3 linked regions of the Arabidopsis thaliana genome follow. The protein of the gene in region 3 interacts with the protein of the main gene of each other region in a pairwise test. Each region holds a gene or a part of one and is shown on either strand. Other genes may lie near its edges.

Evidence for each region.
Region 1: the proteins of AT3G62790 (region 3) and AT1G26660 interact in a two-hybrid assay, tested with the Arabidopsis thaliana proteins (one large-scale study listed by BioGRID).
Region 2: the proteins of AT3G62790 (region 3) and BZIP24 interact in a two-hybrid assay, tested with the Arabidopsis thaliana proteins (one large-scale study listed by BioGRID).

What each region holds. Positions count from the first base shown.
Region 1 is NC_003070.9:9,203,110-9,214,417, forward strand, and holds AT1G26660 (Prefoldin chaperone subunit family protein), read left to right. Parts: upstream 1-8,654; 5' UTR 8,655-8,776; intron 8,777-9,186; 5' UTR 9,187-9,188; coding exon 9,189-9,280; intron 9,281-9,395; coding exon 9,396-9,500; intron 9,501-9,731; coding exon 9,732-9,833; intron 9,834-10,110; coding exon 10,111-10,218; intron 10,219-10,372; coding exon 10,373-10,427; intron 10,428-10,584; coding exon 10,585-10,656; 3' UTR 10,657-10,766; downstream 10,767-11,308. Other genes in the region: FBR12 (Eukaryotic translation initiation factor 5A-1 (eIF-5A 1) protein), read left to right, coding at 2,859-2,978, 3,343-3,465, 3,563-3,619, 3,708-3,782, 3,885-3,989; AT1G26640 (Amino acid kinase family protein), read right to left, coding at 4,511-4,606, 4,708-4,811, 4,908-4,970, 5,045-5,117, 5,212-5,289, 5,376-5,411, 5,500-5,556, 5,641-5,702 and 4 more; AT1G26650 (Son of sevenless protein), read left to right, coding at 7,226-8,233.
Region 2 is NC_003074.8:19,279,002-19,290,170, reverse strand, and holds BZIP24 (basic leucine zipper 24), read left to right. Parts: upstream 1-5,978; 5' UTR 5,979-6,106; coding exon 6,107-6,165; exon of another isoform or gene 6,166-6,321; coding exon 6,322-6,517; intron 6,518-6,602; coding exon 6,603-6,909; intron 6,910-7,218; coding exon 7,219-7,343; 3' UTR 7,344-7,781; downstream 7,782-11,169. Other genes in the region: AT3G51990 (Protein kinase superfamily protein), read right to left, coding at 1,094-2,182; AT3G51980 (ARM repeat superfamily protein), read left to right, coding at 2,669-2,888, 2,967-3,058, 3,135-3,285, 3,394-3,521, 3,617-3,775, 3,865-4,050, 4,148-4,360; ASAT1 (acyl-CoA sterol acyl transferase 1), read right to left, coding at 4,714-5,751; AT3G51950 (Zinc finger (CCCH-type) family protein / RNA recognition motif (RRM)-containing protein), read left to right, coding at 9,764-10,437, 10,537-10,701, 10,790-10,975, 11,063-11,130. UniProt on the Arabidopsis thaliana protein: Transcription factor involved in the regulation of salt stress response. Functions as a negative transcriptional regulator of salt stress acclimation response by regulating cation homeostasis.
Region 3 is NC_003074.8:23,221,716-23,232,291, forward strand, and holds AT3G62790 (NADH-ubiquinone oxidoreductase-like protein), read right to left. Parts: upstream 2,612-10,576; 5' UTR 2,507-2,611; coding exon 2,357-2,506; intron 1,708-2,356; coding exon 1,606-1,707; 3' UTR 1,315-1,605; downstream 1-1,314. Other genes in the region: AT3G62780 (Calcium-dependent lipid-binding (CaLB domain) family protein), read right to left, coding at 314-1,210; DRB4 (double-stranded-RNA-binding protein 4), read right to left, coding at 4,034-4,488, 4,747-5,128, 5,218-5,448; AT3G62810 (complex 1 family protein / LVR family protein), read left to right, coding at 6,048-6,288, 6,386-6,465; AT3G62820 (Plant invertase/pectin methylesterase inhibitor superfamily protein), read left to right, coding at 8,067-8,651. UniProt on the Arabidopsis thaliana protein: Accessory subunit of the mitochondrial membrane respiratory chain NADH dehydrogenase (Complex I), that is believed not to be involved in catalysis. Complex I functions in the transfer of electrons from NADH to the respiratory chain.

The sequences.
Region 1 (11,308 bases), on a different chromosome or scaffold from region 3:
GATGATTATCAGAAGTATACATAACAAACCATTGTAACAGGAGGAAGTAAAACTTGTATCATAAAGTGAGTTCTAAGCAGACAATCATAAACTTGTATCATAAAGTGAGTTCTAAGCAGACAATCATAAACTTGTATCATAATATTGGTAAGTATTTAGAACAAATAAAATGTTGAGTTTTATACGAAAACATGGTATTTTATCTGATGTCATGTTGCTTTCTATAAACTTCCATTCATACATGGCTACTATTTTACACGACACCACTCTAGTTTATCCGACTATACATTATTTAATAAACTAGTAAGTAATTAACAATCATGTGCGATGGAAAATGAGATTTAGGTACCCACATATTTATGATTTTTTTTATTGAGATTTATTTTGCAAATCAGTTCAAATTTTTGGTTTTTAGCATGTTAGTTCAATAATTAACAAAGAAATTAAACATTTGTATGTACAATAACATTTTATGAGGAAATTAACATATGACAAAGTTCTAGTCGATAATAAGTTCATGCCTTTCAAACAAGATGAAAAAGGATATTTAGCAAAAAATTGATATGTCTAAGTTTATTCAAGTTTTTAGTTTTCTAAGGACAATTAATCATGCTCAATTGCTCATAATGAAATGCATCATATCATTATATGATTTGGTTTTGCTTATAAATCATAAATCATAAATGACGTTTCCCTTACGAAAAATATCAAATTTTTATATATGAAAGATAATGGGCCGTAAATGATCAGTCCCATATAGCCCATTCCAAGTACGCAACTCATTTCTGGAGATGTTCGTGGAGGTTTTCGAATTTGGTTTTGTTTCCCAAATACCCAAAATATCATCAAGCATAATGGGCCGTAAATGCTCTTTGATTTAGCTTCCTAAAAGCCCAAAATAGCATCAAGTCTTAGTCTATAGGGCTATAATTGTCAAAATGAGCCAGCTCGCTCAGCTCAGCTCACCTCATGATGAACTTGGATCTTTTATGAGCCAGCTCAGCTCAACTCATTTATTATATGAGCTTCAAAATACAAACTCGGACTCAGATCATCTAAATCACGAGCTAAATGAGCTAGCTCGCGAGCTAATGCGAATAAATGAAAAAATTTATATTTTCTAAACTTGTTATGTAAATTATATATTTTTAAAAATATATTTCTATTTTTATAGATTATATAAATATTTATGTTTTGATTATTGACTTTTTGTGTATATTACTAATATTTATTTTCAGAAATTGTTATGTAACTTCTATATTTTCTAAAATATATTTCTATTATTTATAGAAAAATATATATATACTTTGATTGTTAGCTTTTTGTATATATTACTTCAAAAAAACCAAGCTCATGTTCATTAAAGCTCGCTCATATAACTCGTGAGCTAAATAAAGCTCGATCACTAAACTCATTTATTAAATGATCCTTAAAAATAGAACTCGCGCTCATGAATAACTGAGCCGAGTTGAGCCAGCTCATGAGCTATCAGCTTATTTTGACACCCCTAGCTATAACCAAAACTGAAGATCTCTTGAGTGTTGCATCAAACTACTATTTTTAATCAATAGTTAGCTTTTTTTTGTTATATTATCAATTAAATATTAACTTTTATTTGATTAAATATTTATTTAAATTTAATTTTGATTTTAAAATTTATCGTGCAAAATTTAGACTAAAAAGTTATATACTCAATTGTTTTTCATATTCGTTTCTTATGAAATTCATATACTCATGTGTATTGGATTTAATTGTAGTGATTTATTTTGTAATGAAAAAGTTAATATTTTTAATTAATAATACAAAAAAATAATTTCTTTACTATATCTTAAAAATTTTAAATTATTTTTTTTACATTTTAAGTTTAGTTATTAAATCAAAAAATAATTCTAGATTTCATGTAACTGAATTTTTTTTTTTGAAAATTAAATCTCGCCTTTAGAGTAAAAAAAAACTCTATTTTTTTAGTTATGTAGTCTGTAATATGAGGAATTAGATGTCACAAGCTAAAGTGGGGCCGCATGGAATGCACGCGAGAGATGCAAGAGAGAGAAAAAAATAAAATCGGGAAAATCTAAATCGTTGAGAGATTATAATCCAACAGCTGAGAAATAGGATAAATTATCAAACTAGAGAAACTTTGGCAGCTTTGGATGCTGAGAATGAGTAAATGTCAATGAATGAGAAGGCAAACAATTAAGGAGAAGCAACACAAAGTGAAACACAATCTACTCAAGCAGCTACTACGGTATTTAACTCTAATAAACGCTTAAAGTTTGATGTTCGGAAAGAGTTTAGACCCATGTTAGAAGTTGTTTAGATTTTTTCACTACTTTTGTATTTCTGTTTTAAATTAGAATCTTTGATGAAATTCTGTTTTGTATAATCTTTTAAATTATTAATGTTTGAGTGAATTTTGGATTTATAAATTTGTTAGAAACTTTGATTAAATTAAAGAATTAAAATCAATTAAGGGTAACAAATAAAGTTTTTTATACAAAATACAAAATACATGATTCAATTTAAATACATATGACAGTGAATATAATATATATGTCAAATACAGAAATAAATACAATTTAAAATATCTATATAAAATACAGTTTTTTTGAATCCTTTTTTTTTTATGAAGAGGCCTGTTTTGAGTTTGGGCTGGGCTGAATTGTTTTTACCCACCACAACATTCCTAAGGATAATAATACAGTAACCCTAGAAAGGTTTCCTCCACCTTCCTCTTCCCCTCCTATATAAAAAAAATCGACATCGCTTTTGCTCACTTCTCTCTCTTAGGTTTTTTTTCCCTTCTCCCAATCTCATCTTCTCCGAAAACCTTTCTTCTCTCAAATTTCTGTGAAAACATGTCTGACGACGAGCACCACTTTGAGGCCAGCGAATCCGGAGCTTCCAAGACCTATCCTCAATCAGCCGGTAACATCCGTAAAGGTGGTCACATCGTCATCAAAAACCGTCCCTGCAAGGTCTGATTTCTATTTCATCATCAAACATCGTTCTCGATCTCTTTTTCCTGATTCTAGATCTCGTCTCTGTATAGTAGCTCCTTGATTTTGTTTTTATCCTCGGATTTGACCTGGTTCTGTTTAGTTTGAATTTTTCTTATAGATCGCTACTTAGATGAATATGATGAATCTTATCCTGTTATTTTGATGGTGGTACCTCTCTAGATTCGTGGAATTTTGGGAAATGAAAATGAAAAATGGATAGAAATCAAGCAATATCAGACGACGCCTTTTGTGATTTTGAATCTAAGTAGTCTATTGATTGATTTGATTTAAACGTTTATGGAGAACATAGATTTGATTTTGATATTTTGGTTTTGATTAGGTTGTTGAGGTTTCGACTTCCAAAACTGGCAAGCACGGTCACGCCAAATGTCACTTTGTTGCTATTGATATCTTCACTGCTAAGAAGCTTGAAGATATTGTTCCATCTTCCCACAATTGTGATGTAAGTTACTACACAAACTATGTAGATTCATTTTCACAGTATTTGATATGATTGTGTGATCTGACTCAAATATTGTTCCTTTCTCTTTTTTTCTCAGGTTCCACATGTGAACCGTGTTGATTACCAGTTGATTGATATCACTGAGGATGGCTTCGTATGTTTTTCTTTATACTCACTTTCCTCATCACTCCAGCTTTATTTATCTATTCTTGCCATAACTTTTGTACTTGTTTACATTATAGGTGAGCCTTCTCACTGACAGTGGTGGCACCAAGGATGATCTCAAGCTTCCCACCGATGATGGTCTCACCGCCCAGGTTATTTTCTTGTCTTTTCATACTCGCACACAAATGACTTGACTTTGTATTCATCTCTCGAATTGTGATATTGAAAACAGTTGTTGTGTTTTGTTAATGCAGATGAGGCTTGGATTCGATGAGGGAAAGGATATTGTGGTGTCTGTCATGTCTTCCATGGGAGAGGAGCAGATCTGTGCCGTCAAGGAAGTTGGTGGTGGCAAGTAAACAAGTATCATTCGATATATTATTACCAGTTTGACAACGGACGTCAATGTTATAAGAACCAAAAGATGTTTTTCTTTTTCCTAATTTAGACCCTTTGTGTGTGTTTCTTGTTGCAAGACAACCATATCTATTGGTTTTGGATTGTTGGAAAAGTTTGTGTTGAAACATTCAAAGTTTCTTATGAGATGTTATTCTTAAAACCACTTTTTGTTTGTTCACTGGATATGTTTGTTCATGAAGCTTGTTTTAAGCAACTCTTTACATGATATTCATTGCTATTTGCACGATTCAAGAGTGACATATACATTTTATTTAACAATAACAGTGTAAGATATGTGATTGAATACTTGTGGAAACATAGAGTTACACAGGCTGCGATAGTATTCGACATTTTAACTGGTTTTGACATTACACGATTTTGTATTCCTTGCACAAAGTCTGGTAAAACAGTAATAGCAAGAAAAGGTCAATGCTTTCCTTTGTTGAGGAACTGGAATTAGTGTATTTGTCAGGAGATTATTCTACTTTGAGAATCTGATGATAGTACCAAGCCAATCTTCAGGAACACTATCTCTCAAATCACCGTTTAGTGCTCTCTGTGAATGAGTTGTCGCAGCCTGTTTGAGGAGATTGAAAAAAAGAGCATGATGGCGGTTAAAAGCTCCATCTTTATCTAAGATATTTAGTTGGTTAAAGGCAAAAGTTGTCTATAATCTACCTTCACAATGTAGACATCGACTCCAAGTTTTGCAATCATAGCAGCTTCTGATATCTTCGTTTCCATTCCACCGGTTGTATCGTGCGCCGCAACAGAGTAGTCAACTGTTTGATTCCAAAAATCAGAGAGGTTTGAACTTTTAACAAATCCCTCAGACTTATTGTATTGCATAGTTTTACAACATTGGTTCTTTCGTTTACCTTTCTTGTCTGTGTGCTCCAACAGTGGATTCACAACCTTCCAGCTTCCATCTTCTCCAACAGCTGCATGAACTGTTAGTATCAGGCCAAGTCTGGAAAAGATATAAAAAAAACAAACAGTAAAGTTTGAAACTAACCGATCTCTTTCAAGAGCACAGCGTCGGGCTCTGAAGGTGAAGGTGGTCGATCGTAGACACCTAGTACATCTGTCTTTGTAAAGAGTTACTCAGATAACAAAGAATATATAGGAAAGAGGGAGAGAGAACACAAATTAAATTTCCGGTTTATACTATGAATAGGATACGAGAAAGACAACATATTCTGGCTTCAAATGATCTGCAAGATGACGGATGATAACATCACCACTCAATATGGTGCAGCCCTGTTCAGGACAAGATTTTCAACTGTTCAAATTCTAAACGGACAAGAATCTAGATAGCTATTTGGTATCTCTGGAGAGCATATTACCAGTATATTGTCCAGCACTGCATCTCCATGGAGAACCTGGCCATGACAAAAATTACTGTCCAAATTACAGTCAAGAGACTTTGGTAAACATCTACCTAATTTCACTGGTGGGATCAAAACTTACAGGGACAAATCCTGAGTCTATGGTTTTAGCTACGGTTGCTAGATCTGCAGAAGCCACCTAATGCAAAAAGCAGTCTCATTGAAATCTAAACCCACATGCTTCAGATCAGGAAATATGTTAAGAAGTTCAGTTAGCTCTTACATCTCTTTTGGAGGTTGACCAACCACATGAAAATGGAGACATGCCTATCGTAGGAATGCCCTCTGCAAGAGATCATAATGTTTAGCTTCAAAATTCATCTTTTCCTCTTAGCCAGAGTAGGAAAAGAGAATAAGCTTAAGAGATACCTCGGGCTAGTGCTCGTACAATTTCAAGATTAAGATTTGTCACCTGCAAAAAGAAGTTGTAGACTATCAGAACAGCTCAAGACTATCTTACGTAAGAGCATCAGATTTAGCTAACAGTCTCACAGATATACGAGTAGCAACGAAACCAGCTTTGACAATAGGTTTCTCAAGTCCTCCTTTGTGAACCCCAGATCTACTGGCCTGAAAGTGCCCAAAGGAACCTAATGACAAAAATCAGAACAACACATAAGAAACCCAAAAACTAAATAACAGCTCAACTAACACAAGCAGGTCAATGATCTGTAAGAGCTAAATCAAAAATGTATTTTGATCCTTCATTATAAGATTTAAGCAGATAAGAATCAATCTCCAACTAACCAGCGCCATGAACCACAACAAATTTACTAAACTCAGAAGACTTTTGATCCCCTATGTCATCCACATCACAAGAAATCTCAGAGCTTCCAGGTCTCTTGCTCCAATCCATGCCAATAACCTTGCTTGGAGCTGAACCCTCCAACATAGCTTGACGTAACTGACACGCCACGACCTCCAGATTTTCATCGTGAATCTTCTCCAGCTCGTTTTTGCAAGTAATTGCCGCACCTCCTATCAAATCATTTAGACATTCTGCTGTTACAAAGTCTAGACAGGTAAAATTGATGGGAAATGAATAAAAGACAGATCTTTAAAGTCTTTCCTCATCTTCGGTATTCAATAGTCAAATCAGAATCAAACCCATAAGACAGAACAACTAAAATGCGATCTAAGAATCGATCCAGCAAGTATTTTAATAGGGATCAAAAGACAAACCAAGTTTCACAATGCAACGAATTGATCTGCTTCGACTCTCGGAAATATTCAGCTCCATTGTTGCGTCTCTCTCTAAAGCTCTCGTCTTTAGTGGTCAACGGTATGTCTCTCTCTCCCGCTCTAACTCAACTTCATCGTACTCGTATCCTTCTTCTTGCCATTTCCCATTCACCGGAAAGATTCTCTCTTTTTTTTTTTTTTTTTTTCCATAGAAATATTCTTCTTTTTATTCCTCTAAAGAAGCCCATTAAGCTATTATTGGGCCTAACCAAATTGATCAATTTTTTCAAACCGGGTTTATGGTTTAGTGTTTTAAGGTTTCAGTTAAATTAGCGGTTTAGCTTCAAGTTCGCGATGGAGTAGAAGAAGATTACCTCCGACAAAAGCACGTTCACTTGTGCCACCGACAAAATTGGAAATCTTACATTTTTTGTTTTCTCTAATCAAAATTATTGTTGGAACGTAGACAAGATCCGTTCCAAGATTCGTCTTTTTTTTTCAATTTGATTCCTGGGTTATCTGAAAGATCTTCTCTTTGCTTCGATTTCTATCTCCGCTGCTTGTGAAATCAACCTTTATGGTATGTAATCTCGAACTCAGCTAAAACACACTTCACTCTCGGAAACATGGAGACGGAAACGAATCAGGTTTTACGGAAACCGGAGCTAAAATCATACAGTCACAAACAATTTCACTCCTCAAATGCGTTAGAGATCTTAAGAGAAACAGTTCGAATTCTCCGGTACAATCTTGGTGCTTTAATGTTAACTACTGCTGTTTTGATCTGTCCTGTCTCTGCTTTGCTCTTACCAAACTTTTTAGTTGATCAATCATTAGTGAATAAACTCACAGTGAAGCTTCTTTTAGTGGCGAAATCAAGTGGTCTTCCTTTGCAGCCTTTTGTCAAACATTCTTGTCAGAAATTCGCTGAAACTGCTGTTTCGTCTGCAATGTGTTTCCCTGTGTTTATCACTGTGTCTCTGTTGTCTAAAGCAGCTGTGGTTTACTCAGTGGATTGTTCTTACTCGAGGGAAGTAGTTGATATAAGCAAGTTCTTGGTTATATTGCAGAAGATATGGAGGAGAGTTGTGTTCACTTACGTTTGGATTTGCATTCTGATTGTTGGTTGCTTCACTTTCTTTTGCGTTCTTCTTGTAGCAATCTGCAGTTCCTTCTCTGTTCTCGGCTTCTCTCCAGATTTCAATGTTTATGGAGCTATGCTAGTTGGTTTAGCCTTCTCTGTAGTTTTCGCTAACGCGATTATAATCTGCAACACTGCGATTGTGATCTCGGTTTTGGAAGATGTTTCAGGGTTAGGAGCATTGATGAGAGCTAGTGATTTGATCAAAGGGCAGATTCAGGTTGGTTTGTTGATGTTCCTTGGATCAACTTTAGGATTGGCGTTTGTGGAAGGATTGTTTGATCACAGAGTGAAGAAAGTTAGTTATGGAGATGGCTCTTCGAGGTTATGGGAAGGACCTCTTTTGGTGTTGATGTATTCCTTTGTGACACTTATAGATTCGATGATGAGTGCAGTGTTCTATTTTAGCTGCCGAGTTTATTATAGTATGGAAGCTTCTAGAGGTGAAACTCAGCCAATCATGGAAACGGTTACGGTTGTGGATGCTGAGTAATGGTGCGTTGTGCGGATCAAACTCGGTGAATGGACATGGAAACGTATTAGCTGAAGAAGAAGTTGTATATCATCAAATGGGGTTTTATTGAGCACTTTTTGTTTCACTTTGAAACTTGATGCATCTTTAAGGTTTTTGTTATATATGGTTTCTCTGTTTACATTGTTTGAAGATTATATAGCATCCCAAGTTCGTTCATAGTTCTGCTCTTGTTTCTTTTTAGCCAGTTTGATTGAGTCTTGAAAATCTTGGGCGTAAAATAGTAAAATTAAAAAGTAGGTGGGCCTTTATGCAAGGTAATTATATTACAAAGGACTTGAAATTAAAACCAAAAGTAAGAACAAACCGGTTCGCATGGTTTAAATAATCTGTGCTCGAGCGGTCAAATTGTAAAACCACCAAATAATTCTTCGTCTCCCTCACCGTCGCGGCGTCGCCACTCGCCGTCACAACCACCGTCGTTCAACATCACTGTCACCAAAAGAATCACCGTCGTTCGGTCGTGACGTGTCTGGACCTATTTCATCTCTTTGCTCGTGACTCGTGAGTCAAATACTCTTGGACCTTTGCTGTTATCTGTACCTCTAATTTTGTGATTTTCAGATTCCTTCTCGTTTATCGAGTTGGATTCTCTGTATTTGAATGTATTTTTGATAGGGTTTCGTTTGGAAACCAATTTGATTCTCATATTTAAAGTGTAGTTACGTGGTTTGTGTTCTCTCTTGGGGATGTTCACCACCTGTTCGATGAAATGCTTCTACGTATTAGTTTGATGCAATTTCTGTATAGTTTCGACGCTCTCCGAGCTTGTATTTAGATATTGATGGTTAGGTGACTCTAGATTCTGAAACGAACATTTCAAGGCTCTAGAAACTTATTCTGGACTAAGTTTATCAAATAAACAAGGGGATGGTTAGAGCCTTAAGCTTGATATGTTTATGTTCGCATTGCAGTAATGGAGGAGGGACGTCAAAAAGACTTGCAATTGTTGGAGGAGATTATCGACAAAGGTTTGAAACAGAAGCTTGTACATGCAACTGCTTCACGGTATTTATATTTACTTCCTTTTCAGATCAAAATTAAAATTGTGAGTATGATATTAAAGTGTATGTAGGATTAGTTTAGTTTGTTTTCTTTGCATGCTATTCACTTTTTGTTTGAGGTTTCGATTCATTGTGGTCTCTGCATTTGTTGGTTTTGCAGGGACAAGATCTTTGAAGAACAAAAAACACTGTATCCTTTTGTATAGGGAAGACTCTAGCTTCTCGTGATGTGCATCATCTTGTTAAGCTGATCCTAAGTGTTTTGTTAGTTTCTCCCATGTCTTAACCCTATCAAAGATGACGGGTTCATTTACCAGTCAGTTTTTGACTTAGTTTTGTGTTTCTAAATCGAGAGGAACTCTTCTTGGTGTAGTTATTGACAATACTTTGCTGTTCTAGTGAAATCTAATTCGGTTGAAATATTCTTGTTTCCTTGACGGTTACTCCCACTCCAGCTCTGACTTGCGGAAAAACCTAGAAACTCTGGAGAAGAATGGTGTAAATAGTCTCAAAACAAGGGTCAACCTTGGTTCAGAAGTTTACATGCAAGCTGAAGTGTACGTTACTTATAGCTTTGGTTCTTTCGTTTAATTTTAGTCAAGTCATTTAGCTATGAAAGGTCATGCATTGTCTGCATACAATGAAATACACTGTCTCCATACACAGCTTAATGCAATTAAGAAGTGTGCTTTTACTGTGTTCTGTATGTTAGAAGCTAGTTATGTATTATTGAGCAGAAAACGTTTAATAAATGGGGATTAAAATAGGAGATGCTTTCTACCAGGTTTGCTTCTGATTTCGTTTCACTTGACTTGGGTGTTTGTTTGAGTTCAGGCCAGATACTCGGCACATATTCATGGATGTAGGCCTCGGCTTTTATGTGGAGTTCACACGGCAAGAAGCTCTTGACTATATAGCACAAAGGGAGGAAAGAACTCAAAAGTAAGAGAAATCTTTGCTTTTCTAGTTTTCTTGCTCCATGTACAAGGAAAATATGGTTGTATCATTGTATATGATGAATGAGTTCTCCGGTGGAATGCAGTATAGTGACTGAATGTTGATGCAATATAAATGTGGTTTTTTTTGTTTTTAACAGACAACTAGAAGAGTATACTGGTGTTATTACGCAGATCAAAGGGCGCATCAAACTGGTAAGTTCAAGTTCTTATCTTGCTTTGTGATAGTAGTCAATCATTTGTCTTATGAGGTTGAATTGGACTAGAAAATCACTATTGCGTAGGAACCCTGCATCAGACGGATATATGAAAGTGTCATCGGATAAGTATTAATGTTAAATTACCATTGCAGGCTCATTACCAGATTCAGCAAATACTCAATCTTCCTGAAGAGAATCCGTCATCCCGGCAACGTGCGTTTTAGTACACTACCTAGTGGAAAGTTGAGGATTTTCTCTTGCAGTCTTATCTTCTCGATTTGTTCTGCTTACTGTTTTGAGTTTTTAAAGCAGAGAATTAACTTAGTTTGTTCAATACTAACTCTTTCTCCGGAATGGACCAAACTGTTGGTGTTAGATAAACATATCGATTAAGCAATCAAAACTTTATAGAATGACTATTGTTGTGGGGGTGAATAGTGAATCGCACTCTGTTAAATCTGCCATTTCTATTTTAAATATTAATAATCACATGTTAGAACTTAGAAGATCATTAACAGTTTAACACAGCTGATGAAGAATGAAATAAAAGTATGAACGAAACAGATACAAGATAATGATATTCCACGTCAGCAAAGTGTCCAAATATCTTCCGCTTCCCTGTCTTCGTCGGTCCCTTTTCGGTTTTCACGGTAAGGCTCGGAGGAAAACCTAATTCGTCCGGAGAATCTCCACCTCACTCTCGCCAAACGCATCTCTGTTGTAGGTAAGTCACGGATCTTCATTCTACGCTAATTGTTATTGTTATCGTTATTCTTGATCTGGGCGTTTTTGTGGAATTTGCATCTAAAATTAGAAATTTGGATACCAAAATCCACTCCAATTGAATAAGGTTTCTGAAGAATTTTCGTTTGATTT
Region 2 (11,169 bases), 3.9 Mb from region 3:
TACAAAGTCGTACATATGATTGTACTTAGTGTTTACCTTAGTCTCACCAATATCCAAGTCAATCAAGAAGTAAGTCTAATTAAGTAGTTCTCTTTGGTGATTAATTAGAGTCGTTTTTAAGTTTGGAATCGATTTAGATTTTTTTCTAAATTGGTTTCTGAACATGCATCTTGCTTCACTCTTTCGGTATATTGATCATTTAAATCATGTTTTAGGACTCCAATAAACTCCTGATTCCTGAATGTACTAATTATTGTCTATTATAAGGTTTATGAAATCACTTGGACGTTGGTATTGTAGTTTGATGATTTTTTTTTTGAATGTAATGTCAAATTATATTCAAAGAGAAAAATATACGTTTGTACAACATGTGATTCGAGTGTTTGAATGAAAGAATTTAAAAGAATTGCTTCGAGTAGTTTGATGATTTTAGACTACGAGTTATCTCAGAATACGAGTTAGGAGTTGAATTTGAAGAAACAAGAGAGATGAAAGGTTTAGAAAATGAATGACAGCATTTTGTAGATATACGTCTGTCTTCATACAACTATTTTTACCTTCTTTTTTTTTTCCTTTTTTTTCGTCAACTGTTTTTACCTTACAGTGGAGTTTTAAGACGATCAGTTTTTTTGTTCTTGTTAGAAAAAACAGTTTAGTTTTTTCAATTAACACTAAGACAACATATTTAAAAACACTCTACTTTGGGTTTCTTCCATAAGTAGTAGAAAAAAAAACAAAACTATATATAATTGGATCAATGATATGGTTCATACGCATGTCTTGTGTATATGAGTCAATATCGAGAATAGGTGTTTTGCACGAAGAAATGGTGTCAATGATGAAAAGTTCCAACTCTACAAAGAGATGCTAAAAAACTTGTGATATGAGAAAGTTATGCACTAGTGCAAAAGGCTTTACATGGCATGTTTTTAGAACAAGCGGTAGTTATGAATATGATGATCCAGTCAAATACCATATGCAACCATGATGTTACAGTATATGCTTTATTATGTTAAATGAATAAATTGACCAACCCATAAGAGAAAAAACAATGGCTTCAAAGCGAAGCACTTGATTTTAAACAAATAAAAAATCATTCCACGGGTCGACCACCCACCGTCTCGACCATCATACACGGGTTTCCAATGCTTAACTCATCCCACCGTCGTGACCTAACCGACTTAGTCAACCCCGTGAGCCACCCAACCACTTCCTCCATCCCCGGCCGTTTCTCTCTACACGTTCTCACACACTTAGCCGCCACTAACCCCAAATGATTCCTCACACTTACATCAATCGGTGGTCCGATTCTCGGATCATAAATCCCACCGATTTTGCCTCTTTTTATCATCGGAATCGCCCAATCTACTATAAACGACGGCGAATATCTAACGTCGATTGCTTTTCTTCCGCTGATTATCTCTAACAACAAGATCCCGAAGCTAAACACATCAGTTTTCGTGCTTAATCTATCAGCCGTTACGTAATCTGGATCTAAGTAACCCATTGTTCCTGCAGGTGGTGTTGATTTCACTTTTTGATCATCAACATTGCATCTGATCGCTAATCCGAAATCGCCTAGCTTCGCGTTTAGATTCTTATCCATCAATACGTTTGCTGATTTTATATCTCTGTGTATGATCGGTGTCTCTTGAGAATGTAGAAGATGTACGGCTTTTGCAATCTGAAGAGCGATTTTGATTCTCTTACTCCAGCTCGAAATCGCACCGGAGTTTAAAACGGTATCTGAGTGAATCACGTCGTATAAGCTTCCGTTTCCCATGAATTCAACAACGAGAAGTGGTTCTTTGGAGTTATCGGCGCTAAAACCTAAGAGATTCACAAACCTAGGGCTACGGATTCTGGAGAGAATCTCGAATTCGTTGTGGAACTCACGGCTGATTTCTCGAGATTTCGAAGGTCTCTTGACCGCGATGTGACGTGAACCGATGACAGCTTTGTAAACGCTTCCATGGCTTCCACGTCCGAGGAGATTGTTGATGTCGAAACCTCCTGTGGCTGATTCGAGATCGCGATGGAGGAAACGACGAAGTCTAGGACGGTCTTCAATGGGAGATTCGGGAGGAGCAGAAGCTTTGCTGGAGGTGGATCCGGAGGTTGATGCGGCAGATGAAACGGCGATTGCGACGGCGGATCCAGCTTTGCAGGAGAGATAACCCATTGAATCGAGGGAAGAAGAAGATGAAAGTGAAAGGGAAAGGTGTACGTGGAGTTTAATGGCGTGAGTCGTGAGAAGTCATTTTTGTAAATTAAGGCACATTTGATTAGACTCAAGGAAGTGGAGGGGTCGTGTTTCTAATTAATTATGCCTTTTCCTAAATATTTCAAATCCACCCTTATAGTTTTTAAAAATTCTATTTCGTACTGATAAATAATAATAGTTTCAATTTACACCCTAATTTTAGTTGACGTAAATAAGATTAATCATTCAATTGGTCCCGCTTCTGCCACCTGGCACTTTAATGTTTTAGCGCGATAGAAGGTGACGATGGATGAGATGACGTGTAATAATATAATTGGCTGAACACGTTGTTAAGGAGTAGTTACTTTCGTATATAAATTCTGAAAACATAAATGGTAAAGTCGCAAAACGGGAAAAAGCTTAAACCTTTATTTACTGATTAAGTCTACCGCCGGGAAGACAAAGATGCCGACGATTTTCTTTTTCCGATATGTGTTTCTATTGGTGGTGATCTCATTGGTGGGTTTTTCGATCGCTGAGAAAGTTAACTCTTCCGGGGGAATGGTCTGGTCTAGTGTTAGAGATGAAGCCGAATTGGTAGAAGATTCCGGTGTGGTGATCGGAGAGCAAGATCAAATCGATGGTGGATTCTCTTCACTTGATGGGATGTTACACTGGGCAATAGGTAAATTTTCTTTCTCAGTGTCCTTCTTCCTCACTAATTTCATTTAGATCTGATTCTATGTTGGATATCTTCGGTTAGGTCACTCGGATCCTGCGACATTGAAGGAAGCAGCTAAAGATGCAGAGAAGATGTCTTTGGATGAGTTACAGAAGCGTCAATTAGAGTTAAAGGTACGGACTTTGTGATTTTGGTTTTTAATTTCTGATTGCTTTGTCTCTGGAAGTTCATGAAAGTGCTCTTATATAGGAGCTGGTGGAGAAGCTGAAAATGCCGTCGAATGCGAAGTTGATGCAAATAGCGATAGATGACTTGAATAATTCATCCTTGTCTCTTGAAGATCGTCACCGTGCTTTGCAGGAACTTTTGATCCTCGTTGAACCTATTGATAATGCAAATGGTAACTGGAAGCTTGTAACTTGCTATTGAATCTTGTATATATAAATGTGTTTGTGTTACAGTTTCACATGAGTCTGATCAATTGTGGCATCATTCTTTTCTTGTGTAGATTTGAGCAAATCAGGAGGGCTTAGAGTTGTAGCAGGAGAGCTTAATCATGATGACACAGAAGTAAGGAAACTAGCTGCGTGGGTGCTCGGGAAAGCTAGCCAAAACAATCCTTTTGTTCAAGAGCAGGTTTGATTTCGTTGTACTTGTAGAGCAGAACCGTGTGTTGAAGTATAAACCGTCTGAAACACATCATGTTTCTTGTTCTGTGAATTTGGTTACAGGTTCTTGAACTTGGAGCTTTAACAACACTAATAAAGATGGTAAACTCCAGCTCTACTGAAGAAGCTGTGAAAGCACTTTTTGCTGTTTCTGCCTTGATACGAAATAATATAGCTGGTCAGGACTTGTTTTTTGCAGCACATGGATACATTATGCTTCGGGTGAGCAAACCAGAAATACATCATGTCAGGTTTTGTTCATTCATTCTCTGGATTGGAAAAAAACTAACCATGTTTCGTCGTATTTACAGGATGTAATGAACAATGGGAGCTTGGATATGAAATTGAGACGGAAAGCTGTATTCTTAGTCGGTGATTTGGCTGAGTCTCAACTACAGAACACAGAGAAAGATGAACTTCCTATTTTCAAAGATCGTCTTTTCCTAAAGTCTGTTGTCGATTTGATTGTGGTGCTTGATCTTGATCTCCAAGAAAAGGTAGAACTATTACAGGGGCCTATGACCGTTTTTCTTCCTCTATGAATCTTGGCACACATCTCTTTCTAACTTATGCTACTCGGAAAATATGTTTCAGGCTCTTACAGCAATCCAAACTCTTCTTCAACTTAAATCCATAGAGCCTCAGGTTCTCAAAGAGTCCTGCGGGTTGGAAGAAGCATTAGAGAGAATGAAGCTACAGCTGGAGGAATCAATGGCGGATGAATACAAGAGAGACTATGCTGCAGATGTGGAGAGCATTCGTGGTGAAGTGGAACTGATCTTCCGCCAAAAGCTTGGACTTTTATGAACACCATGATCAGTAAGAAAGCAACTCCCTGTGCGTTAATTTCTGGTGGGAAAAGCTTTAGCTGTAGGAGTTGTAGACAAATTCTAACTGCCTTAGATAGACTTAAGATGTGTAACTTAGGCGGATCTTGCTGATCCATTTTGCATGTTATTGCCTCTACTCGAGCGGGTTTCTTCCCCTCATCTTTACTTTCATATCATGTTTGCAAGGTTTTATGTATAGTATTATGAACTTCCACAATTTTCTTGATTCGTGTGCCATGTAAATGATGGGGTTGCAGAAATGTCGGTTTTACAGTGTTAGAAAAAAATAAGTTAAAATAGAGATCACTCAAGCTTTGTCACACGGCAGGGTTAAAAAAGATATGCGGTCAGTTTCCTCCTGACCTCGACTGCAAATGCGCCTATGGCTGCGTACTCATCAAGAGCCTTCTCAACTATGTTGCACCGATTAAATTCGGGCAAGAACAGCCACAATGCCGTCACCATCACAAAAGTGAGTGTCAAAACCTGACTGATTGCTTTCGGGAATCTCCACCTACCGTTAATGGTTTTCTTGATGGCGATCTCCACGGTCGTGCAAAATCCATTTATGAGGAAGAACCACATCATCTTCCAGTCTGGCCTCAACCGTCCCATGTAGAAGAAGATGAGCTCGTGCATTATCCCAGAGACAACAAACGTCCCGAAAGCTGCAAGAATCTGGGAATAGTTCGGGCCCAAAACCGAGAACAGTTGAAGTGACGGTTCGTACACGGTTGGCCGTAAGATTCCAGTGACCATCAGGTTCCATCGTCTCCCCCAGAAATCTTGAAGTGATGTCGCTAGGTACGGCTTGTTGAACTGTGGCTCGAGCTCAAGATCCGACATGGCTCGAACCGCAGCAGCTGTGGCGGCAAGGATGATCTCAAGGGCGAAATATATGTGGATCGCGTAGAGAGTCAGCACGACTTTCTCAGGCAATTTGGTACTGTATTCGTAGGCTTTGATGATGAGAACCACAAAAACTGCCTTTATGGTATAAATCAAAGGACCCTCTGTGGATCCTTCATGGGAGTGAGTTTTTGTAGGTTTTGGGCTCAGCTGAATCTTGATGGGCAAGCAAGAGACAGCTAAGAAAATAGGGAGAGATAGGGGTTTATGGTTTGAAGAGAGAGGACCGCGCCCTAATGCAAATAATAAGAGCTTGAAATTTGCTAGCCAAGCGATGAAGAAAGCCGTGATGCCGAGTAAATGTAAGGAATATATCAAGAAAGGTACTATGAAGAAAATGAGGAAGACAGGGAAAAATAGTATGAGCCTTTTGATTCCTTTTGGAACCAATTTGGCAATGAAAAAAGTGTAACACAGTGAGATGATCACTAAACCCCATGCCTTGATGAAACTCGCCATTTTTGCTTCTTGAACTCAAATCTCGTCGGGAAGCAAGATGATGATGATAAACACGTTTACAAAACGTGTCCGCCAGCGAACACTAAATAATGATAGAGACGTGCAATAAGTTAAAATCCATGAGAAAAGTCTTCTTCTTTTTCTATACGAAACAATTTGACAATTGACATTAAAGAACCAATTCTCTTTCTTATAATATATTATTCATTGGGGTCTGGGGATATGGTAAATGGCTTTGCTTATTGTTCCGTCGTAATTTCTAGTAATAAAACCATTTCAAAGTTTGGTACAGACAAAAAAAAAAACATTTTAAGGTAATCTCAAAACCAAAAAGCCTATCAATCTTTGTACTTGGATGTTTTGTTGTTGCAAGGATTGCAGAGGAAACCAACGAGTTTCTAACTTTGATTCTCTGTAAGATTTTTCTTTCTTGGGCCATGTCAAAAAATTATAAAGAGTTGACTACTGTTTTATTCATCCACTATGTTAATCAAGAACATATTCTTCAACACCATCTTTACTTTAATCAAAAACCCTAATAATATCACCATAATTCTATGTCCCAAACAGAACAGGTGTTTTCTTTGGAGATCTTGAGTTTGGACCTCAGAATCAAAGATATATAAAGATGAATGAGGAAGAAGATAAAGATCAAGATCGAGTAACGAGAGGATGTAGTCACACTCATAGCTGTAACCCTCCAGGCCCAGAGGATGCTTCTCACTCCCACACATGCTTCCACGCTCACACTCATCTCATCATCTCTGTAATAATATCTCTTCCCTTAAGATATGGTATGTTTCTGATGATATTTTAATGGATTGTTATAGATACATATTTTTATGTTGCAGCAGGATCAGCAAGAGAATGATCATTCTGACAGTAGCAACAAGAAACGGTTATGTGGTAATAGAGAGGCAGTGAGGAAGTACAGGGAGAAGAAGAAGGCTCGCACTGCATACCTTGAAGATGAAGTGATGAGATTGCAATCTCTGAATGAGCAATTCCTTAGAAAACTTCAGAGCCAAGAAATGGTGGAAACTGAATTGATCAGACTCCGGGCTCTTCTGGTAGAGATGCAGGGGAAAATTGAAGTTGAACTTTGTAGTTTCTCGTTTCAGAAACAATGCAACGGTTCTGGTTTTGTGTTCAAAGAAGGTGATTTCTCCTACTATTTGGTTTACTAGTTGAAATTGGTTGTCAACAATCTGATACGTTGATGAAAAATTTAGCATTAAGAGGAAGAACTAGTAAATAGCTAATGAAATTTGAGCTACTGAAATTTTATTGAACAATACGAAACGCTAAAGAACTAGTTTCATTTATTTGGTTATCGTCTTAGTAAAAATCACATTTTCGAATAATGAAAACGTAAACTAATAGTAAACCATTCATCACCATCATTTTTATACAAAAGTGACCTAGACCTAATCTTGACACAATTTTGGATCTCGTGTAATCACACAGATGGATGCAACTTAGCAACAAGTAATATGATGTGTGAAGCGGCAAGAGTGGAGTGCGAGGAGGGCCAAACACTTCATGATCCTATTCAATCTTTTGTTCCTCAACCACCACCATTCTCACGTTAAGCGTTTACGGGCTGTGGTATTGTGTGTATATATATACATATGGGTTTAATTAGGGGCATAGAGGTCGGATTCCAATATAGTTAACATATACACAGATTGGTAACTTATTCTACATATGTCTATTTTAAGGGTACCAAAACATCTTGATGTGGAATTGATTTTGAAATGAAGAGGAGGATGATTGTAGATTTGTAGTTGTATGTATATATGATGATAATTGTGGGCTTAGAAGATCTTTGGGGGTCCATTTATAGATTCTCTATATGTGGGTATGGTGAATACCCAAACCAATAATAGATAAGGACTTAAGGTATGCATCATACATGCATGTGTATATCATAAATTTCAAATGCAAATGAATTCCATTGGTGTGGAATAGACTGCCCCAATCATTATTTTTTTTTTTCAATTCGCCTCAAACATTTGCGCATAATAATCATTCTCCCCCATGTAAAATTTACATGCGAATCAAATATTTCTGGATGAGTCAATGATAAGGCCGCAATGTTAGATTTTTGGGGTAAATTATTTAGCAAAGAGTATATATACTTTATAATATTGAAAACACATAATCATAGAGTGAAGTGTTAGGTGCCTCGGCTCTTGTGACTAGACTAGACCACTGCTTTTGACACCCAAAAAATAACTATTATAATCATTGCTTTCCTTTGTGGGTCATTCTTCTTTTATAAAAAGGTCCTTTCGAAATTTTAAATTTTCAAAAAATAATAATTCTTTTTTAACCCTACATTAATTTAGAACAATCATGTCTTTTCATCTTTAATCCTACCCTCTCATGAATATTTTATTAAAGCAAAAAAAAACATACTCAATACTTTGAATATGTGAAACTACGTGTGTAAGATTTTTTCTAGATAATTAGTTATGTTGCTTCAAATAAGAAACCTATGGAATTGGTCAACACATTTGACAATAAATCATATGCCCATGAGATTAATTAAGACAGATTTTAATAATGAAATGGTTTTTATTTAATTTCATGTGATCGAAGCATGCAATAATGATTGAATGAAATAAAATTCAAGTGTCTCTCACCAAACAAATAAAAGGACAATAAAAGCAGAGATTAAGCTGAGCAAATTGACAATTTGGATATGACATGCTTTTTATGTTTCCCTAATTACTCAAATTTATCTTTAAATGACAATAAAATTCTGCCGTTTCATTTTAAAATAAGCAAGTTGAAGAATAAGAAAACCAGGTAGTTTATTTAATTTTGTAATCAAACCAAAAGCTTAGCTATACTTAAAAATGTGTCCCTACCAAAATAAAATGATGAAAAATGAGAAAGAGACAGTAGGAGAGAGTGGAGACCCCAGCGATACAGCTGGTCTGCATATCAATCACCGGCGCGTGACCAACACATCCCAACGGAAGGCGCGTGTATCTTTCCTGTCCGAATGAACAAAAAAAAAAAAATGGGGTTGTGTCAGAGAACGTGCAATGCAACCATCTTTTGTTTTTAATTTGCTTTTTAAAAACAGTTTATTACACAATCTCTCTGTGTTTTTTCTATCTCTCTCTTTCTTCTTCCACTCGTGAAAGAAAGACCAGAGAGTTTTCTCCTGATCCACACAACAACAACAACACAGAGATCCCAAATCCGGAAGATATCTTCTTCTCTCATAACTCAGTTTACTCAGATTCACTGAAACATACAATTAAGTGTACGTACTTCTTCTCTTTATCTTTCTCTCTTAAATTTGATGATAAGAAGAATCTAATAATATGATGACATCTTTCTTCATCTACTATTCCCAAAGGAGCAGTAACCGTCAGTCTCTCACCTGCAGCAAAATTCACTCTTCTGCTAATAATGTTCTCCACAGAGATTCATCTATTGATCATTTTGACTTTTTCAGGTAAAGTAAATTTTTATTTCTCTTTTCGGTCTAGTAAAGTTTTACTCAAACATAGAAAGTTACGATTTTTTTTTTGTTTTGTTTTCCATGGAAAAATTCTCGGCATGCAAAAACTTTTTTTTTTTTCCTAAAAAAGTATTTACCTTTTCCTTTTTTTCTCCAACTCTTTTTCTTAAAGTGTTAATTTTTTTTCTTCTTGTAAGCACGCGAGCGAGAAGAAAACAAAAAAATGAATAGAGTAGTAACTTTTTATACTATTTCTCTTTTAAAATTTTTGGTATTTACTGGTGTTTCGCAGGAACCAGAGATGAAAAATTATAGTTAAGGTTAGTAGTAGTAGATAGGTTTAATAAATTTGTAGTTAAGTAACCCAAAAAAATAACATTAAACTAAAATCCAACACTAGAAACCAGAGAGACCCTCTTAACGACAACAACCTCTCTGTACACAAGACAACAAACACTCTCTACAAAAACACTACTCTTTCCTTCTTCTTCTCTCTACTCTATTCTAATTCTAAAGAGAGAGAGAAAAGCTATGGATGGATATGAAGCTACTAGGATTGTGCTCTCTAGAATCCAAAGCTTAGACCCTGAAAACGCATCAAAGATCATGGGTCTTCTCCTTCTTCAAGATCACGGTGAAAAAGAGATGATAAGGCTAGCTTTTGGTCCAGAGACTCTTGTTCACTCTGTTATAGTGAAAGCCAAGAAAGAGTTAGGTCTCATGAACTGTTCAAGGTCTCCGTGGAGTCATCAAGATGAGTTGATTAGCCCTAAGAACAACCGTGGCTCTTCACTCAATCCAGCTTCTTTGCCCTTTTACGCTAATGGAGGAAGATCTTCTAGGGATTTAACCAACGATTTCGAGCTCATGGATGATATGAACTCCAGAAGTACTGATTTTTTGGGCTCTGTGCATGCGAGAAGCGGTAGCTGCGTTTTGGACGGTTTAGGGTATGGTGGTGATTCTGATTTAGGGTTTGGAGGTGTGCCCTGTTCTTACTTCGCTAGAGGCTTCTGCAAAAACGGAGCTAGCTGCAGATTCGTCCACAGTGATGGAGGAGCTGATTTGGTTGGCTCCCCAAGCAGAATCGAGCTTCTTAGGTCTAACTCGGTACCCCCAAGACTTGCTCACCACTTCATGACTCGCTCTTCTCTCCCTTCTTTTTCAACTAAAGGTGTTAACTTGCAGCAAAACGATGTTCAAAGGTTTGACCTTTTTCCCAACTGCTTCTTTTGTTCATTTACTGTCAAAATGTGTTTTTTATATTTATTTATTTTTGTTAAGTTGTGTAAATTTCTGTGCAGAGCTGCTGCTGCTTTGATGATAGGAGATGAATTGCAGAAGCTTGGAAGATGGAGACCTGAAAGGATTGATCTTTCTGCTATGGCTTGTCCAGCTTCAAGACAGATCTATCTGACATTCCCTGCCGACAGTAGGTTCAGGGAGGAAGATGTGTCCAATTACTTCAGGTAATTTCCAACAAAACACATTGAACTTTTATTTGGTCTGAATGTATGTTCTTGTATGTGACATAAGATGTTGTTATGGTGGTTATAGTACTTTTGGACCAGTTCAAGATGTGAGGATACCATATCAGCAAAAGAGAATGTTTGGTTTTGTGACATTTGTGTACCCTGAGACTGTTAAGAGCATTCTCGCCAAAGGGAATCCTCACTTTGTGTGTGATTCCAGAGTTCTTGTCAAGCCTTACAAGGAGAAAGGCAAAGTCCCTGACAAATACAGGTACTTATATTGCTAGTATTAGTAACTCTTATACTTTGGCCTGATTGTTCCTTGAATCCCTTGTGTTTACTGCGGTTTGTTGTGCAGAACTAACCAAACAACAGAGCGAGAACTGTCCCCAACAGGCCTTGATTCTAGCCCTAGGGACGTTCTAGGTAAACAAACACTAAAGCACTTGTCTCTTTTGGTTTTAC
Region 3 (10,576 bases):
TTTCCAAAAAGGTTTGTTATATATATTAACCAGGTGCATCATTCATCAATGGTGAACCATTTTTGGAGAGTACAAGACAGTACAAACATGATACAGATAGAGCATTTTACAAACCAAAAACGTCTAAGTAAAGAACGTAACAATTTAGGGTGTGATTTTGTTAGAAAGAGAGAAAAAAACACACAACAATTTTTATGTTGAGTTCGAAGAAAAAGAACACACACACAAGTTGGGGGAATTGATGACATCATTAGTTAAATAAAATCAACAAATCTCCAAACCGACGACTAGGCTTCCAGACGTTGACAATCAATTAATATCTGTAAGGACTCATCGGTGGATATAGTCCCGGTTGTGTCAGCGGCGGAGCCACCGTTGAATAACCTTCTGGTGGACATGATAAGCCAGGAAATATAGATTGATACATTGTGGGTGGACTTCCCGGCATGTTACTCGGCGGATACAATCCGGGGAAGCATACCGGTGGAAGAATCTCAGGCTGAGCAAGTGGTGGATAAATCGGTGGCTGACAAGGAACGTGGTTGTAACTAAACGATCCAACACTTGGTAGCAACTGACTCAACACGGGTCCGTTCAACTGGCTCAACACGGGTCCCTGCAACTGACTCAACACGGGACCATTCAACTGACTCAACACGGGACCGTTCAACTGGCTCAACACGGGTCCGTTCAACTGACTCAACATGGGTCCGTTCAAAACGGGCCGGTAGGTCGATACAGGACGCACCGGCGCTTGAGCTGCGTACCGTGAGCAGCCGCCACCGGTCGGGACCTCCACCGGACCTGTGAACGAATAAGTGAAACTAATATCGGCTTTGGATTTCCCGATTTGATATGTGACGTATCTTTGACCGGTCTTATCGTTTCCAAGATGATCCAGAAGTTCTTTCACCTGAACATGAACCTCGCCGATGTCTTTATCTACTCCTCCACGTTGCTCGCACTTGATCTTGAAAGTGATCACAAGGCGGTTAGCCTCTGCTAAGTTTTGGTCGAGGATGAACTTCATGACATCATTGCTCCATTTGGGGCTGGTTCCACCGTCTCTTGCCGCTTGTGTCCGCTGCTCACGGTGGTCAGAGCATTTTGGATCACCGGATAACTTCACGGCCACAAAAACATCCATCTTCGACACTTTCTTAAGCCCTTTTGCTGATGTCACATTTATTTCTAGAGATCTCGTCCCCATTTTGATATTACCCAATGAAAAAGCTGGTTCTCTCTAGACACATTACATATAGGAGTTGCAGAGAAGACTAAGTGAAAGTCAATGACAACTATTTATAGAGGACCTTTTCATTATTCCACCCACTGTTCTGTTTTTAATGTCTCTCGAATAATGATTTTAATATAACTGTAGGAGTAATTATTACCATTAAAGAAGGAGTCTGTGTTTGACGAGTAGCCAAAGGCATATTACAACTCGGTCAAAGGTAATAGACAAAGCAAAGACAAAAAAATCCATTGCAAAAGCAAACTGAATACGATCAAATGAAGTTTGGCACACAAGATACAGAAATCTTCAAGAAACTTTTGTTTATTCTTCGAAAGATGCAAACTTTGGAGATAGGAGGAAAATCTCGACTAGTGATGAGTATGAGTCCCATCCCCGGTTTCTTCGCCTTTCCTTGATGCAGCTCTTAGTTTACGTTGTTCTTCTTTGTATATCCTGTTTCTTCGTTGGAACTAGATCAAAATACACAAATATGCGCTCCTTATCAGTTCATCTACCATAGGCTTATACTAAGCAAAGAAGAAAGAAACAATATTGGAGACAACAATAATAAAGCTTTTGATTCCCTCAAAAGTTCACACGCAAGCCTATACATTCAGTTTCATTCAAATTTATGATTTCAACACATAGAGAAGAGAGACAATATCGTTCCATTTGAAAGATCAAACAGAGACAAGAGATAAAGAGTAAGTCTCAACTTCCAAACTTAACAGCTAAACAATTCATGGCCATGAAACTAAATCTCAGATAAGGGAAGTGGTATTATATTAACCTAATCCCTACAAGCAACCTAGTGAAAGCATCCACATATATACTTGGGAGATTGCAATTCAACTTTTCTAGTTTCAAGCAAAAAGAAAGCTTATGTTTTTATACATGTAGCAAACGAAACGACCAGACTGAGAGATTGTTCCAACGGATCTAGGAATGACTTAAACTCGTGATCCAGAAACTATCGATGATCGTACAGACGACCGATAACAGGACGAATCATCAATGAAACAGATCAAGCAATCAAAAGCGTGAATTGATGACACATACAACAACACAGGAACGATAATTGAAAGAAACCCTAAAAAAAGGAAAAAGGCGAAACCTAACCTCTTTGGAATGGTGAAGACACTCGAGGTAGTCTTCACGAAGAAGAGTACAGTCTTTGGGCTCTCTGCAATGAGACATACATTCGCTGAAATCCATCCAGAAATCGTAACACCTCCCTTTGTTTCCCGTTATCCCCCACCCCGACGCCATTTTTCCTTCCTCTCTCTCTAATCCCAGGAGAAATTTAGTCGTCTTCTTCGCCTGATTTCCGAGGATCCGATCTATTCAGGTTAATCCAATTAGAACCCGAAATAAATGTGCCTTTATATTATGGGCTTTAACGTAAACACTTCATGGGCCCAACTTTGAGATATCAATTCCTGTAATTACGTTAGTGTGAAGGTAATTATTACCAGAATTTTACCCGTTCCTTAACATTAAGCAGGAATTGTTGTTACTTTGTTACTAGGCTTTTAATAGTTTAATAAAATTTAGTCTGCTGTCGAAAAAAAAAAAGTGCAAAAGTTCCTTTATGTTTGACTTGTTGGTGGATTAGAATTTCAAACCCCTGATTTAGCAGTTCTTAATGGCCATTACGGACTATATATGATAGTAATTTATATGTCATATATAATGTTATATATTTTATATATAAAACATTTAATTAAATATGACTTTAGTTTTTTTTTAAAGAATTATATTAATTTTTGGTAAAGTTTAATTCTAGTATTTTTACGGTATTAAAAAATGTTTGGGTTGTTTTTTCAAATTTAATAGTTAATTTTCCACTTTTAAAGAAAACAATTGCTTTTCATTGTTTTGGAGAAGGTAGTTCACGCCCATGGCTGTTTCTAAGCTAGGGAATCTTTTCTTATGTGAGAGTGAGAAAAGGTTGTTCAAATATTACCCAGAGACAGACTACCTTTGTTGCCTCTCCAGACTTTTGTGTTATAACTTCTTTCGTCGAAAATTTAGTCTCACTTCGTTCCAGGCCCGACTCAATATTATTTTGGGTTCTGTGCTAAAAAAAAAAATATCCCCTTTAAACCTTTAAATCCAAAAAATTTTAGTTTACGTGGCAGTGTTTACTGTCTCTTGTAAACGTAATACACTTGTAGTTCTATTCAACCATTGTAATTTTATCTAGAAAAATAAAAATTCCTATAAATTAGGACCCTAAAATTTAAGAGAGAAAATAAGGACTCTGTGCCTTGGCACTGCTGGCACACCCTGCTTCGTTCACAACCAGGATCTGTTCGGAAAATCAGCACTTGTGGGTACCAATATGGACTTAGCTATGTACAACCTGAATGTCTTCCGAAAATCATCAGCACATCTCCGCACCGGTCTCGAATATCTAATATCGTGATGGAATTGCTGTTCCCAAATATTTTGCTTACCTCTACTCTAGTGTCTCTAATTATATTCGGTTATCGTTACAAATATTCTACTTGAAGCGGTTACTTATCTAGCTGGTTTTGCTTATGTCTACATCTTACTATTTAATATTTATTCTGTTAAGCTTTTCCATAATCTATTAACATTTAATCTCGCCTTGTTTCTAATAAACACAATGCTTTAAAACAAAAATTAGTCATTACACAGTATACATACTACATAGCATATTGCTTAAGAAAACCAGAGACGAGAAGCATTCTATTTCTACAAACAGATGAGATATAGCTTACCTTAACATTCTATCTCTACACTTATTATGCATCAAAGATGATGATGTCGTTATGGCTTCACAAGACGATAGGCTATAAATTTATCATCTCTAAAGAGCATCTCCGCGTCTTGAGGAAGAGTTATCTCGGGGTTCCATGGGCGACAAACTACATGTTGGCCAGTTGGTATACTCAGGTGGCCAGTTCCCATTATGAGCTTCTTTTTCTCACTCTCATCTACTACACATGATGATGTTTCACTACCATCGTTTGTGGGATTCTGAGGCATCCACGAAGAACAAGCAGCAATGTTCCTCTTGATACCATTGGCAGCTGGTGCATTAAGAGTAATAACGTTTGTAGGATTGTGAGGTATAGGCAAAGAAGAAGAAGCAATGTTCATCTTCATACCATCAGTAGTTAGTGCACTAAGAGTACCATCGTTTGTAGGATTCTCAGGCTCATTCAAAGCAACGTTAATCTCCTTAGCATTACTGGCTGGTGCATCATGAAGATCTGGAAATTCTGCACAGAATCAAGACTGTAGAGCATGAGTTTTGAATGAATTAACCATCTTGACCATTTAGCATTAAACTGAAATTGGAATCCATTTCATGCAGTTAAAGTAAGGTTGGCTTTCTTATTTCATAGCTGTTTCCTACCTATCTCAGGAAAATACGTCCCTCTGATTGGACCACAAGTTATAACAAAGAAAGAGAGTTTTTCCTTTAACAAACAAACCAACGGATTATTCATGTAGTGTAGTATTCAAAGAAAACTAACCATCTTCATTCACTTTAATCCCCTTTGATGGGGTATCAGGGGTCATCACCACCTTGGAAGAAGGTTGAGAATGGATCTCTTGTGGACTGCTCTTCACATTTGAATTTACATCTTCTTGTCTCTCACTAGGCAAAGTAGGCGATCCGGTCTGGTTCGAGTTCCCATTTTTGATACTCATGAATGCAACTTTAGCAGCGCTCATTTCAGCCAACTTTTTGGTTTTCGCCTCTTCTCCACTGAAAACTTTACCAGCAAACTCAACAGTTGAAGTAAAAGTAGGCGCATGCGATGGACCAGATGTAGCAGTTGCATAAAATGGTAACAGAGAACTCTCTTTCTGTGCAATTTCTTGTAACAGGTTCTTGTAGGCAACATCAATTCCCTGAAACAACAAAAATTTGAAAATCAAAATTTAAACAAATGTTGAAAAAGCACATAACTTGTAGTCCAAAAAGAGTGTGAGGAACTAGCCTCTGGACTTTGTGGCGTCAAAGAAGCAACTGCAATTTTTGCAGCGGCATGTTCAGCCGATTTTAGTGTCGGAAAGAATTCAGAGCTCTGGAAAGTCTGTCCACAGAATGTAACATTACATCTAAATCTAGGAGCATGAGGAGGCCCTTCTCTCTCATTCGCATACACTGGTAGCTCCAGATTATGTTGCAGGGCATACGCTTGCAGTTGACCTTTGTATACATGATCCATCTCTATCTAAACTGGCAGGAATTAACCAAACATAAAGAGATCAACGTGTATCAGAATTTCTCAAACATAAATGGCAAACGAAGAGACGAATTTCAGATTTCAGAATTGGTCAACCAAACATAAAGAGATCAACATGACAACATGTATCAGAATTTCTCAAACATAAATGGCAAACGAAGAGACGAATTTCAGAATTGGTCAGACTCAATGATCTAGGGTTTCGTACAGATCGATAACATCAAAACAGCGAAAGGAATCTACGATTATAAACACAAAATCGTACCTCTTTGAAATGGTGAAGACACTTCGAGGGAGGAAGTGAACAATCAGACAAAGCATTCGCTGATTGAAACTCATCGAGAAACCATAATAAGTATACACATGTAAATTGTCTCAAGGATACGAAAGATTCGGGTTAACCCAGCTTGAACGGGTATGATCCGAAATAATCCATTAATGGGCCAAAATTGGGCTTATTCATGAAAGTTGTAAAGGCCCAATGAAACTCGAAGTTGATCAGAAGGTTGTCGGCGACCAAATTTCTAAATCCAATTTTGGGAGGGAGACGACGGCGGAGGTTGAAAGGGGAAAGAGCAGAAATGGTGACCGGAGAAGCGTTGATCGCGTACAGAGCACTGCTCAGGGCAACAAAGAAATCATTCGCCGGAGATACCGAGATGCTAAAAGCTTCGGCGTCCGAGATCCGTAAGAAATTCGAAGAGAATCGCCTCGTGGCTTCTAACTCCGACATCACTCGCCTTCTAGAAGAGGCGCGTGAAGCGACGCAGTTCATTTCCACCATGATCGTCCAGGCTAAACTCAACGAACGCGGCGGATATGGTTCGTTCTGACTCTTTTTATCTTGCGCACCATCTGTTTGTTGAAATGCGTGAGTGAAAGCTCATATCTTTGGAAATTTGATTTTTCTGTGTCGTAGAGATGAAAGCAAGTCAGGAACACGCGGGAGCTACTTTGGAGCTTCCATCAGAGGAGATGCTTCGGAAAAAATCTGTATGAGTGTAAGTCTGAAATTGGATTACTTCTCCCTTACTCGTTTTGTTTGATCGGGAAAGGTGGATCCTTTTTATGCTTCTCTGTTTGTTTTCTCTTTTCACGGCCAAGTTGAATCAATAAGAAGCTCTTTACATACATTTTTGGATGAGATTCGTCCATTTCAAAACAAGAATTACAGAATTCACTTACATCCATGGCTAATATTGATTATGTTGTATGTTAGACTGTAGACCTCACTTTTCTACTTTTCTTAGAAGCATTGTCTTGTCGTAGAGACCCATCTTTTGTGTCATTCTCAAATCTTAGAAGCCTTGTCTTGTCGTAGAGACCCATCTTTTGTATCATTTTCAAATCCATGTCACTTTTATTGTTAGATTGAAATATAATTATTTCCTACATAAGCTTAGGTTTCGTCATCTATCTAGATTTCCTTGTCCCCGATTGTTTCACAGAGTCTGATGGGAAGTTTGAAATAGAGTTGACGCGAGAAGATTGAAGCCGTGATGGTCACTCTAGTTTTTCAAACCAATAAAATAGAACCTATATTGTTGATACGGGGTCCGAGAAGTATGGTTCATTTTCCAATGAAAACCACTACACAATCTGTCAAGATTTACCCCCATTCATGAGTGTCCACAGCATTTGCTCAGAAGTCCTTTTTTATCATCTCCATTCATGATTTTAAGTTCAGAGTTCTAGCTTTCTCTTATTAGTGTCTCAGTCATCTTCTCGCTGGTGTGCAATCCTTAGATTCTTGTGTTGAAGAGCATTGTTTCATAGGAATCATGTGAATCGTCATAACCACATATACTTTGTTCTCTCAATTCATGTGAGTTTGATTCAATTCTTTAGCTGTATTCATAAATGCTCACGCATTACGTGATTATGTTGTATATAAGAACTCACGCACGTCCTAAAGAAAGTAGCCATGTCGTGAATAAAGAAAAAGGTAACTAAAAAAATGGATTCGAAAAGAGATATGGTCATGGGCCTCATGGCGATGACAAAACTACATAATGTAGCTTTTTCGATGTAAGGTACCAAAACCTCATTCCGTACACAACTAGCTCATCTTCCATTTATAAACAGTTTCATATATACCATATATTCGTAGCCATTGATGAAATAAATATTATCATAGAAGGATTTATACTCACTCTTCTTATCACTTCGTTGCATAAGAGATGCGACAAATTACGTTTTCAATCTTTGTTAAGTCCGCCTGGTAGAGTAAGAATAAGCTCAATGATTAGCAAAACAATAAATAAATAAATAGATCGATCACTAGTTTTATTAGGTTGGAGTAGTTGTTGAAAATGGTAAAAAAAATAATGATATTTCTATTCAACATAGTAATCATAATACGAGATAACTAAACCAACGAATTGTTATCGGCAAAACAACAAATTAATAAAATCGAACGAAGTGTTAGAACGAAATGTTGTGATCATAACTCCGACACCTACAAATGGACCGCCATACTTTTTATACTTTCACTTTAAAACCTACCAAAACCCCTAAATTAAATTTATACGTGTCTATATATACGATCTCTCGTCGAGACACCAATTAATTTTGTATAAAGATTACAATTCTCACAAAACATGAAAACTCCCATGAGTTCTTCTATCACGTTTGCACTCGTCTTCTTTCTCCTTTCTCTCAACCCAACTTCATCATTACCGTCCAAACGCGAAAGCTACGTTCAAAACGCGTGTAGTGTTACACGCTACCAAGACCTCTGCGCTAAAACGCTATTGCCGTTTGCATCAGTCGCCAAGAACAGTCCCAGCAAATGGGCACGTGCCGGCGTTTCCGTTGCCATAACCGACAACAAAGACGTCCTTAGACACCTTCTCAAAACGAGGCTTTCAACGATTGGGAAACGAGACCGAATCGCTTTGTCGGATTGTCGCGAACTTCTCCAAGACTCTCTTGATAGTCTCCACAAGTCCTTGGCCGTCCTCCGGACACTCAGAGCCAGCGAGTTTCAGCAGCAGATGAGTGATCTTGCTACGTGGCTTAGCTCTTCCCTCACTGACAAGGACACGTGTCTTGATGGGTTTGAAAAGACATCGACGAGGTCATCATCAACGGTCAGGATGATTCGGAAGAGAGTCACGACGTCTATGTACTTGTCCAGCAATTCTCTCGCACTCCTCAACAAGCTAGCGGCTAATGGTTTGTAATCTCTTAAATCATAAACTTTTACAAAAGCTTTAATTTTCCATGAAAGTGTAAGATCATATTATTAATAAGGTGGTTCATGGCTGATCACTACGATAACTGTATCTCTCTCATTATAATGGAATTATTTACAGGCGAAATAATAATGGGCCTAATGTCCTATATTGGGCCAATGTTATTAGTCAAGTATTGTCATTTTTATTCGACCGTCACAAGCCCATGCCACCTAACGAGTAACGAACCTCTCTCTCATCAAGTCAAAACGTGAGAAGAAGTCGGTGATAAAAACCTAATAAAAATCACTCGAAAGATATTTTTTTCTTGGTTAAACACTCAAAAAGATTTTGTCTAACTACTATAACTCGTTTTAGTCCTTTCCATAAACCATTTTAATTCCTTTTACGATAATAACTTGAAATTTTCTTACTCTTAACGCCACAACATTGCTAAACGAATTTCATACAAATATAGCGCAATTATTACTTTGATAGCATATTATTGTTGCTTCATATCATATGTTTAGGTAGTTGCAACTTTTGTTTTGTCTACATGTATATATCACCGTGTTAATTATATATTTTGTTTCATATTGTTAAGATCAGTATATAACTTTTTAAAACAAGATGCTTTGATTTTGTCACTTACATATACATAGTTTCATATAAGAGATCCTTCCTAACATTGTAGTTAGCTAGTCTTATTCCATTAGTTTTAAATGGGTATAAAATTTAATTGTTATTTATAAGAAAACAAAGAAGTTGATTAGAGAAAGAAAAAAACAATTATTTATAAGAAATTCAATTATTAGCCATCGCGAATCTAAAAAGTTAGGCAAGAAAGTGAAGGAGATGTGGGGTGACATAACTAGCTAACCGCCAGGTTAGCATCACAAGTCAACGTAAACATAAAACACCAATGCTCTTCCATTTTTCAAAAAAATTGTATTCACATCCGAGTCTGAAGTTTTTTTGTGATTTGTTTAGATCACAAGTTAGGAATTTTGTAGTTTTGCGCAGGGAGGGAGACGCCGAGGGAGGTGTTTAGGGAGGGAGGGAGGTAGACGCCGTCGCTACTTAGTGTAAATTATCTTTTCAGATCGTAAAGCTAGTAAAATATTGATAGTATAATTCATATGTAGCTATTAAAGGTAGATCCAAACCATCATGGTTTAACCATGTGTTATTGTGTCGTAATAAGCAAAGGCTTTATCTTATATAATCAGAAACACTTAAGGACGTAACTCAAAATATACAAGTTTCATTAACTATAATCAAATAATTGTGTTTGAGCAAATGTTTCAAATATATGGTTAGTTTCAATCAAAACGGGTTTTCTTTTATTCTAGACCATTCCATTTTTTTCTAAACTACTTAGACAATCGTAATCACTCGGTAAAAAACACTGTTACAAAATGGGGTCGTAGAGATCTACCACTAATTAAATTGGATTTACCTTTTACTCTTTGGCTCCTTTTTGAAAAAATTTGAAGTTAACAAAATAACCAAATAAAATAAGAATAAGTCGTCACATTTAATCTCATAGGCAATTTTTGAATCTAATACAAATCACGTTTTTCCAACCCTGATGGTCAAAAGCGTTATGAATGTGCTTTGTAAAAAACTGTTTAGTTTGTTAGGACATGCTTTTATATTATTACAAATTTTAAATATCATGTTTATGCTATAATTGAAAAATACGAACGTCGAAATCACTCAAAGCTCACACCAATCTGGCTTTGAGTGCTAAGTTAGGGTTTGGCATTGACTTTGTTTACGTGAGATTACCATACCTAACGAACCTATCATTTCATTAATTACAAATTGAGTATTAAAAAAACATATAATATGTGTTTTCGTGTTGTTGCAAATAATGGACTAAGTAACAATATTCATTGGTCCGATTTTGAAGGAAAGTTCAATGAAATAAA